Linked DNA regions of Mus musculus: region 1 is reported to be linked to region 2. The links are microRNA targets in miRTarBase. Many come from high-throughput screens and were not tested one by one. Region 2 holds a microRNA gene; the other region holds the end of a gene's coding sequence.
What was found. The annotated mature microRNA mmu-miR-7a-1-3p reads CAACAAAUCACAGUCUGCCAUA and lies in region 2 at 2,675-2,696, shown strand. An mRNA with a match to its seed (bases 2 to 7 or 8) in the 3' UTR can be bound and repressed. Matches are read on the target gene's strand: a 7mer-m8 pairs with bases 2 to 8, a 7mer-A1 pairs with bases 2 to 7 and ends in A, and an 8mer does both.

Region 1: the mRNA of Basp1 is a reported target of mmu-miR-7a-1-3p. The part of its 3' UTR that is shown has no 7-base or 8-base seed match.

Annotation. Positions count from the first base shown.
Region 1 is chr15:25,360,691-25,365,223 of GRCm38, reverse strand. It overlaps Basp1 (brain abundant, membrane attached signal protein 1), which reads left to right. Exons shown (of 2, transcript NM_027395.2): 2 at 306-1,947. The coding sequence starts at 315. The coding sequence ends at 995. Among named protein-coding and RNA genes, the nearest start is that of Gm36555, 31 kb to the right of the region's middle.
Region 2 is chr13:58,391,496-58,395,495 of GRCm38, reverse strand. It overlaps Mir7-1 (microRNA 7-1), which reads left to right and starts at 2,610; the gene lies at 2,610-2,717. Hnrnpk (heterogeneous nuclear ribonucleoprotein K) reads left to right here. Exons shown (of 16, transcript NM_025279.3): 9 at 203-331; 10 at 711-1,018; 11 at 1,132-1,186; 12 at 1,337-1,420; 13 at 1,628-1,643; 14 at 1,722-1,804; 15 at 2,131-2,300; 16 at 3,080-4,000. The coding sequence ends at 3,110.

The DNA of each region.
Region 1 (4,533 bases), not on the chromosome of region 2:
ATGCTTGAAAGTAGATAGATAAGACCAATACCATGCCGCCTGTCCTCCCTATAGGCAGCTGGGTCATTGATCACCATTTCTTTGTCTCCCCCACCCCCCAACTTGCTGGCCTGCAGGCTTCGCGGCGGGGGCTTTACTTTGTTCTTTGTTACTTCTGATTATGGTAGAATGCCCGTGAAGTCCAGGCTGCTCCCCGCTGTGCCCGAGGTCCTCGACGCCCTCCTCGCCCTGCAGGCAGCCTCCCACCATCCACTTTGCCTACTTTGACCCTAACTCCCCTTCGTCTCCCCTGTGCTTCCTTGCAGAACTCCAAGATGGGAGGCAAGCTGAGCAAGAAGAAGAAGGGCTACAATGTGAACGACGAGAAGGCCAAGGACAAAGACAAGAAGGCCGAAGGCGCGGGCACCGAGGAGGAGGGGACCCCGAAGGAGAGCGAACCCCAGGCGGCCGCCGACGCCACCGAGGTCAAGGAGAGCACGGAGGAGAAGCCCAAGGACGCGGCGGACGGCGAGGCCAAGGCAGAGGAGAAGGAGGCCGACAAGGCAGCGGCGGCCAAGGAGGAGGCGCCCAAGGCCGAGCCCGAGAAGAGCGAGGGCGCCGCGGAGGAGCAGCCCGAGCCCGCGCCGGCGCCCGAGCAGGAGGCGGCCGCGCCCGGGCCCGCTGCGGGCGGCGAGGCCCCCAAGGCCGGCGAAGCGAGCGCCGAGAGCACGGGCGCGGCCGACGGCGCGGCCCCGGAGGAGGGCGAGGCCAAAAAGACTGAGGCTCCCGCCGCCGCCGGCCCCGAGGCGAAAAGCGACGCGGCCCCGGCGGCTTCAGACTCTAAACCTAGCAGCGCGGAGCCCGCGCCCTCGTCCAAGGAGACGCCCGCCGCCTCCGAGGCGCCCAGTTCCGCGGCCAAGGCCCCCGCGCCCGCCGCGCCCGCAGCCGCCGAGCCCCAGGCCGAGGCACCCGCCGCCGCCGCCAGCTCCGAGCAAAGCGTGGCCGTCAAAGAGTAACCGGGACAGCCAACCAGAACCGACGCCACTCGCAAACGACCTGTCTTCTCACGCTCTCTCTCTCTCTGTTTCTCACTCTGTCCTCTCTCTGTCTCTATCCTATACTAACTTGTTTCAAATTGGAAGTGAGGATATGTATTGCCCAAGGGATTAAATAAACAAAAGAAAAGAAAAGAGAAAAAAAATAAAGAGGATGTGTCCCATCAGGGGAGGGAGGGGGCGGGGAGAATCCAAATAGTATTTTTGTGGGGAAATATCTAATATACCTTCAGTCAACTTGACCAGTCAGTCCTGGATTTTCGAGATCATTGTCTGAAAGTACATCATCTGTACCCTGAACCGCTGTCCCCTAGGCTCCATCCTTAAAAACCCCAGCATCTCTCCCGCGATGCAGCTGGGGAGGGAGGCGTTTGATTCTGCCCACAGGACCAGTGCCAAGGCAATCAGATCTTTATGAAAGCAGTATTTTCTGTGTTTCCTTTTTAATTTACAGCCTTTTTCTTAATTTTTTTGGTATTTTTTTAAACGTTCGTGGATGAATGCCAACTTTCAGACGGAGCCCACTTAGCTTGTCCACATGTATCTCAATGCCAACCCTCCATTTTTCCTCTCCAGATATTTTTGGGAGTGACAAACATTCTCTCATCATACTTAGCCTACCTAGATTTCTCACGACGAGTAATGCATGTCCGTGGTTGGGTGCACCTGTAGTTCTGTTTATTGGTCAGTGGAAATGAAAATAAAAAAAAATAAAAAATAAAAAAAAAAGAAGTCTGCGTTCACTGCAGCGCCAGTTTTCTTCCATCTGTGTCTCAGACACCAACACACCACCCATTGGAAAAATGGAAAAAAAATAAATAAAAAAATAAAAAAAATGTACAATGGATGCATTGAAATTATATGTAATTGTATAAATGGTGCAACAGTAATAAAGTTAAACAATTAAAAAGTAGTAACTGGCTTTTGGCTTGATTTTCCCCTCCTTTTCGGTAATGTAGGTGTCTTTTCCTGAGTATAATTGAACTGAGGTAAGACATAGGATTCTCAAGTGTTCTTGACTAATATAGGTATAAACAAAACACCCCAAACAGTGGAATCCAAGACCACTATCCCCTAAGATGAACAGGAAAAACCGTCTAAGGATTCACACCCAACCATGGTGTGGGTGTGGTTATTAATGCTTTAAGAGAGTGAATATTGTGAATGAAATATTAAATGACAACCAAGAGCTGTGTCTTGAAGGCTGGGAAGAATATTATAATCTTTGAGAAACATCCTATGTGTATAAATTGTGAAGCGGTGGGCCAGCATCTAGGCCTGCCCTGCCTGCAGGTCAATTGGTACCAGAGGTAGGCGAGGGACCCGAACGCCGTGATGGGTTAATAGCCAGGAGAAAGCTGCTTCCACCTTACCCAGACCTCACTTGCTTTGGCTTCAAGGGAGCATAAACTTGTGATCTGTAAGACAAGATCCCCCTTGATAGCTGAAATATGTAGAAGTTTGTGCACGTGCCAGCTAGCAATGTATACCACAGGCAGATGTGCTAAGCCGTCACCCTTTGATGACCCCATTACTGGAATAGTGACCGTCTGTGTGCTCAGGGTCCCCCTGTGCCACACATGGGGAAAGAGGCTGGAGAAAGGTGGCTTTTGTACAGACTCGGCATGCACATCAGTTCTTGAGGGTAAGAAAGGAGGTGATTGTCTCTCGAGTCTCTCAGAGAGTTGCTTGGGTGTTTTCCAATCCGATACTGGAAACCACAAAAAAAAAAAAAAAGAAAAAAAGAAAGAAAGAAAGAAAGAAAGAAAGAAAGAAAGAAAGAAAGAAAGAAAGAAAGGAAAGAAAGAAAGAAAGAGACCTAGCCATGGCAAAGATTTCTCAGACCTGAATCGGAGAGAAATGCCCAGAAAAATACATGACAGGTTCATCTTTTAGAGTGTCAGTTTCCGGTAGAATTTGTGAAGGCTGTGAAATGCGCATGTGCACATGGTCCTGTGGGTCCGAGTCAGCCTGATTCTATTCCTGTGTGCTGCATACAGAGGAGAGAGAACCCCTCTAGATGTTTTCTGAGTATCTGGAATCAGTACCACACCTGGAGAAGCAGAAATGGTGGAGTTGGACTAGCTTAATGGACTTTCTGAGTTCAGGCCGTGCTACGATCACGTCTAGCCCTTGGACCTCTTGCTTTTACAGTGAAATGATTTTGAACTCTTACTGCATGACAGCACAGCACACATGAATATGTAAAAGCATTAGCCACCAGCCAACTATATTAGGTAAGAAAAACAGCAGGGAATATCCAGAGCAAGTGCAGTTGCCCTCAAATATATAAAATCATGTGGGGGCGGGGTTGTGTATTACGGAGGCAACAGACTCAACAAACTGGAAGATGTGTATAAGATTACAAATTATCTTTAAAATGAAAAATACTTATTTTTGCAAAATGAATTAAATTTATCAACTACTGTGGAGTAGTTACGAATATTAAATGTCATTCATTTATTGCTGTGAAACATGCTTTGGTGGAAGTAATATTTAACAGACTGACTTTCTCCACCTACCATCTTAATTAAAGTGTTCACAGAATTTGGGGTGAGAAGAGCCAACAGGGGTTCCTCAGGATAACATTTACCATCCAGAGTCACTGCATGGGATACGTGAAGTAAGGTGACACACTTCAGCTTATGCGCTGAAGGGTGTGGCATCATTAAAATCTGAGCTGCATCTAGTCATTTATTTCCTAACGGTTATACATTAGAGCACTGGACCTCGAGTTCCTTACCAAGGCAGGCAATGGAACAACTAAACATCCACAATGTAACAACTAAAATCCACCACCCGATTGGCTTGAATGGAGCATCAGTTTCATAGTGTTCCTTCTAGATGTTAGTTTGACATACAACAAACTCCAATTATTTCATTTAGTGGAGAAAATATCTATTTAGAAACTTACCAATTTATTTTTTATTTTTATCTACATCCCAATTACTGTCCCCACTCCCAGCGGTCCTTCCCCATCCCCCCTCCTTTCTCCTCTGAGAGGGCGGGAGCCCCTTAAATACCCCCCCCCGCCCCCCAGTGCATCAAGTCTCTGCCAAAGCAAGCACATTCGCTCCCACTGAGGCCAGATGAGGCAACCCTGTTGGGGAACAGATACCACAGTCAGGTTACAGCTTTAGGGACAGCCTCGCCTCCAGTTGTTGGGGGAGGGGCTACATGGAGACTGAGCTGCACAAATGTTACATATACCCCAGGGGCCTTTGGCATTGTTTCAGGATTGGTGAGATCTATCACCATCATTTAGATTCAGTCCAGCCTTTGGACAGTAACATTGCAGGTGTATTTGATCTGATATCTATTTTAACTAATTTGCACAATATTGAAAACTGGATTCTTAGGGGACAATCTTAAATATGTATCATGGTGGCGTGGCGTCATCAGTAGTTTTGGGATTCACACTAGGAGTGTTTTGTTTGTTTGTTTGTTTGCTTGACACAGTCCTATATATAGTCCTGGCTGATCTGGAACTCAGCATACA
Region 2 (4,000 bases):
TCAGATCCCTCATCACTATTTAGTTGGGTCTTAAAGTAACAAATCTAAGTTTTGTTAAATTCTCACCATTTCTAGGTCCTGTGTAGTTGACCACATTCTGTATTGAGAGTAATTGGGTTCAAATATCTGAACTTAGGGAGCCTTGATTTTATTTGATGTGCTAACAACTTCTAATGGGTTTTCTCTTTTGTAAATGTTATAGAACACTCAGACAACAATCAAGCTTTTCCAGGAGTGCTGCCCTCACTCTACTGACAGAGTTGTTCTTATTGGAGGAAAACCTGATAGGGTTGTAGAATGCATCAAGATCATCCTTGACCTTATATCTGAGGTATCTTTGGGATATTTTTATTTCATTCAGTTTCATCTAACTACCAGAAATAAGACAGTATTCACACCATTAATTTTGACATCTCCCTGCAAGTTTTTTATTGCCTCCTTTAATATAGTGCCTTTGGTCCTTACTCAAAGGTCCCTGTAGTGCCATGTTACCCACTTCTTACAGAGATATCTGGGGTAATGATCCTTCTGTCTCTGACCCACATCCACCTCCCCGCCCCCCGGTCAGTATGTTAGAAATCCTTTCCATCATTGCTTCATTGTGTCCCTGCCTCTGTTACCTTTTGAGTTAATAATGGTTGAGATGGGTTAATTGATAGGACCAGAGCTATTTTTCTTCAGGCTTTAAGGTGCTGTGTTTCTGTTTTTAGTCTCCCATCAAAGGACGTGCACAACCTTATGATCCCAACTTTTATGATGAGACCTATGATTATGGTGGTTTTACAATGATGTTTGATGACCGCCGAGGACGACCTGTGGGATTCCCCATGAGGGGAAGAGGTGGTTTTGACAGAATGCCTCCTGGTCGGGGTGGGCGTCCCATGCCTCCTTCTAGAAGAGATTATGATGATATGAGCCCTCGTCGAGGACCTCCACCACCACCACCTGGTCGAGGTGGCCGGGGTGGCAGCAGAGCCCGGAATCTGCCTCTTCCTCCTCCACCACCACCCAGAGGGGGGTAAGTTTTTATCCAAACATTAACATTAATAAAAGAGGCTGCACTTAGCAGTGTGTGTGTGTGGGGGGGTGATTTTAATGTGACCATGTAAACATTGCAACATGTGCTTGCAGAGATCTAATGGCTTATGACAGAAGAGGAAGGCCTGGAGACCGCTATGATGGCATGGTAAGAATTTTGATTTATAAGGGCGGCATGTGTGTTTTCAGAGACCTTATAACCAAACATTTGTGTGAGACTGTAGTACTAAGAGCTTTTTTAAAATTGAAATTATTTTCACAGCCCTCTAAAAGTTTGGTATTTATGTATGTAATACAGGTTGGGTTCAGTGCTGATGAAACTTGGGATTCTGCAATTGACACATGGAGCCCATCAGAATGGCAAATGGCTTATGAACCACAGGTTGAGTATCAATAATGTTAATAATGTACATATTGGTAATTTACCTTGACTGTCCATAATAATTGGTCTCCCCTCCCTACCCCTGTAATTTCTTGATTCAGTTTATTTCCTGGATAAACTGGGTATGGGTGGTATGGGAGGACTTTGCTTTTCTAAGCTCTGTGATATTTTAGAAATATTAAGTAATTTTTTTTCTTTTGTTTTTAGGGTGGTTCTGGATATGGTAAGTTTCTTCTTTTTGAAATCAAACATTATTTCAATCTTATTTTTATGTGAACTTGCTGCTCATTATTTAAATCAGACTATTCTTATGCAGGGGGCCGTGGCTCATATGGTGATCTTGGCGGACCTATTATCACTACACAAGTAACTATTCCCAAAGATGTAAGTATTTTTAATTTAGAGTATTTTTAATTCGGGGAATTTACTTACTTGTATTGGTTGCTGCTTCTTGGACAAAGACTTCCAGTTTAGGATTGAGATAATGTTTAAGAACTTAATGGAGGGGGTATTTTGAACCTTAGATCAAATGATACTTAGTGACAAAAAGAAGACAGTTTGGGGTTCTTAAAATACACATATGTAAAATTTATTTCAGGAATTTAAGACTGACGTTCTAAATAAATTACTATAAAGTTATTACATTTTGTCATTGATAAAAGGGAGTAAAATTTCTTTCAAGTCATCATAAACACTTACAATCTTTTCAGTTGGCTGGATCTATTATTGGCAAAGGTGGTCAGCGGATTAAACAAATTCGTCATGAATCTGGAGCATCAATCAAAATTGATGAACCTTTAGAAGGATCTGAAGATCGGATCATTACCATTACAGGAACACAGGACCAGATACAGAACGCACAGTATTTGCTGCAGAACAGGTCAGTTGACCCTTAGCTTTATGTTAGTGTACACATACTAAAACCTTTAAAAAGCTTTTCTTCCCAATTGATTCTTCTTTTAGAAACCATGGTGTTTCCGTCACTTGGGGAATCTAACTTCTAAATATTCTAATTAATAGCTCTGCCTTAATTTTCTTCTGTTTTCTTACTAAAATGAAGACATTCAATACTAATCTTGCTGGAAGAAGCCTTAACCAAGCAAACTTCTCATTTCTCTGGTGAAAACTGCTGCCAAAACCACCACTTGTAATAATTTATACAGAGCCTGTAGAAAATGTAGAAGAGACATTGGATGTTGGCCTAGTTCTGTGTGGAAGACTAGTGATTTTGTTGTTTTTAGATAACTAAAACGACAACAAATCACAGTCTGCCATATGGCACAGGCCACCTCTACAGGACAGATAATGATGGTGCTGTCAAACGCAGCATTTCACACCTTCCTCATGTTCCTTTGTCTTTCCTACCAAGTATTAACAGCTTCCAGTTTCATTTTCTTAACCCTGCACTACTACTGTCTATTAACATTTTCTTGAGTTTTACATTGCTTTAATTTATAGTTGCTATTGCTCTTTAAAAGTTCTTCTAATTGTAATGGACATGTTTATCATTTTAATTTATCATTGAAATTGTCTTAATGTTGATTAAGATGTTTTGAACAAAAATTCTAATTCGTACTTTTTTTTTCTTTTCTTTTATAGTGTGAAGCAGTATGCAGATGTTGAAGGATTCTAATGCAAGATATTTTTTCTTTTTTATAGTGTGAAGCAGTATTCTGGAAAGTTTTTCTAAGACTAGTGAAGAACTGAAGGAGTCCTGCATCTTTTTTTTTTTATCTGCTTCTGTTTAAAAAGCCAACATTCCTCTGCTTCATAGGTGTTCTGCATTTGAGGTGTAGTGAAATCTTTGCTGTTCACCAGATGTAATGTTTTAGTTCCTTACAAACAGGGTTGGGGGGAGGGCATGCAAAAACTAACATTGAAATTTTGAAACAGCAGCAGAGTGAGTGACTTTTATTTTTTGTTCATTGTTGGTGGTTTTAAAAAAAATTCCCCCCATGTAATTATTGTGAACACCTTACTTTGTGGTCACTGTAACATTGGGGGGTGGGACAGGGAGGAAAGTAATAGTCCACATGTCCCTGGCATTTGTTCAGAGCAGTGTGCAGAATGTAATGCTCTTTTGTAAGAAACGTTTTATGATTTTTAAAATAAATTTAGTGAATCTATTTTTGGTGGTCTTTTTTTTTTTTAAGACAATTTCAAATGGTGGTTGAATTTTCCAGCCCACCCCTAAACTAAACACTAAGTTTGATTTTCAGCAGCTCCTCTGTTGGATATAAGTGCACCTCTTGGACATAGACAAAATACATTGGCAAACTCAGTTTGGGTGACTTCTTAATGGTTGGAAAGACTTGGCTTGATAAATTTCCATCACATATTCATGCTTATAATAAGCTTGGGATTTTGTTTGTTTTTGCAAATGTTTGCCACTACTTTTCAACAGTTTTCTGTTAGTTGTGGAGAACTGCGGTGGGGAGCAATACTACAAGAGTTACGCATCTTAAGTATATGCCAGAAGCCTGATGGGCAATGAGCTTTATTAACCAGAGTAAACTTGGTTATGGAAGTGGCTGATGCTGAATAAATCCTGGTTATTTTTGTTAGATAATTTCTCACCTA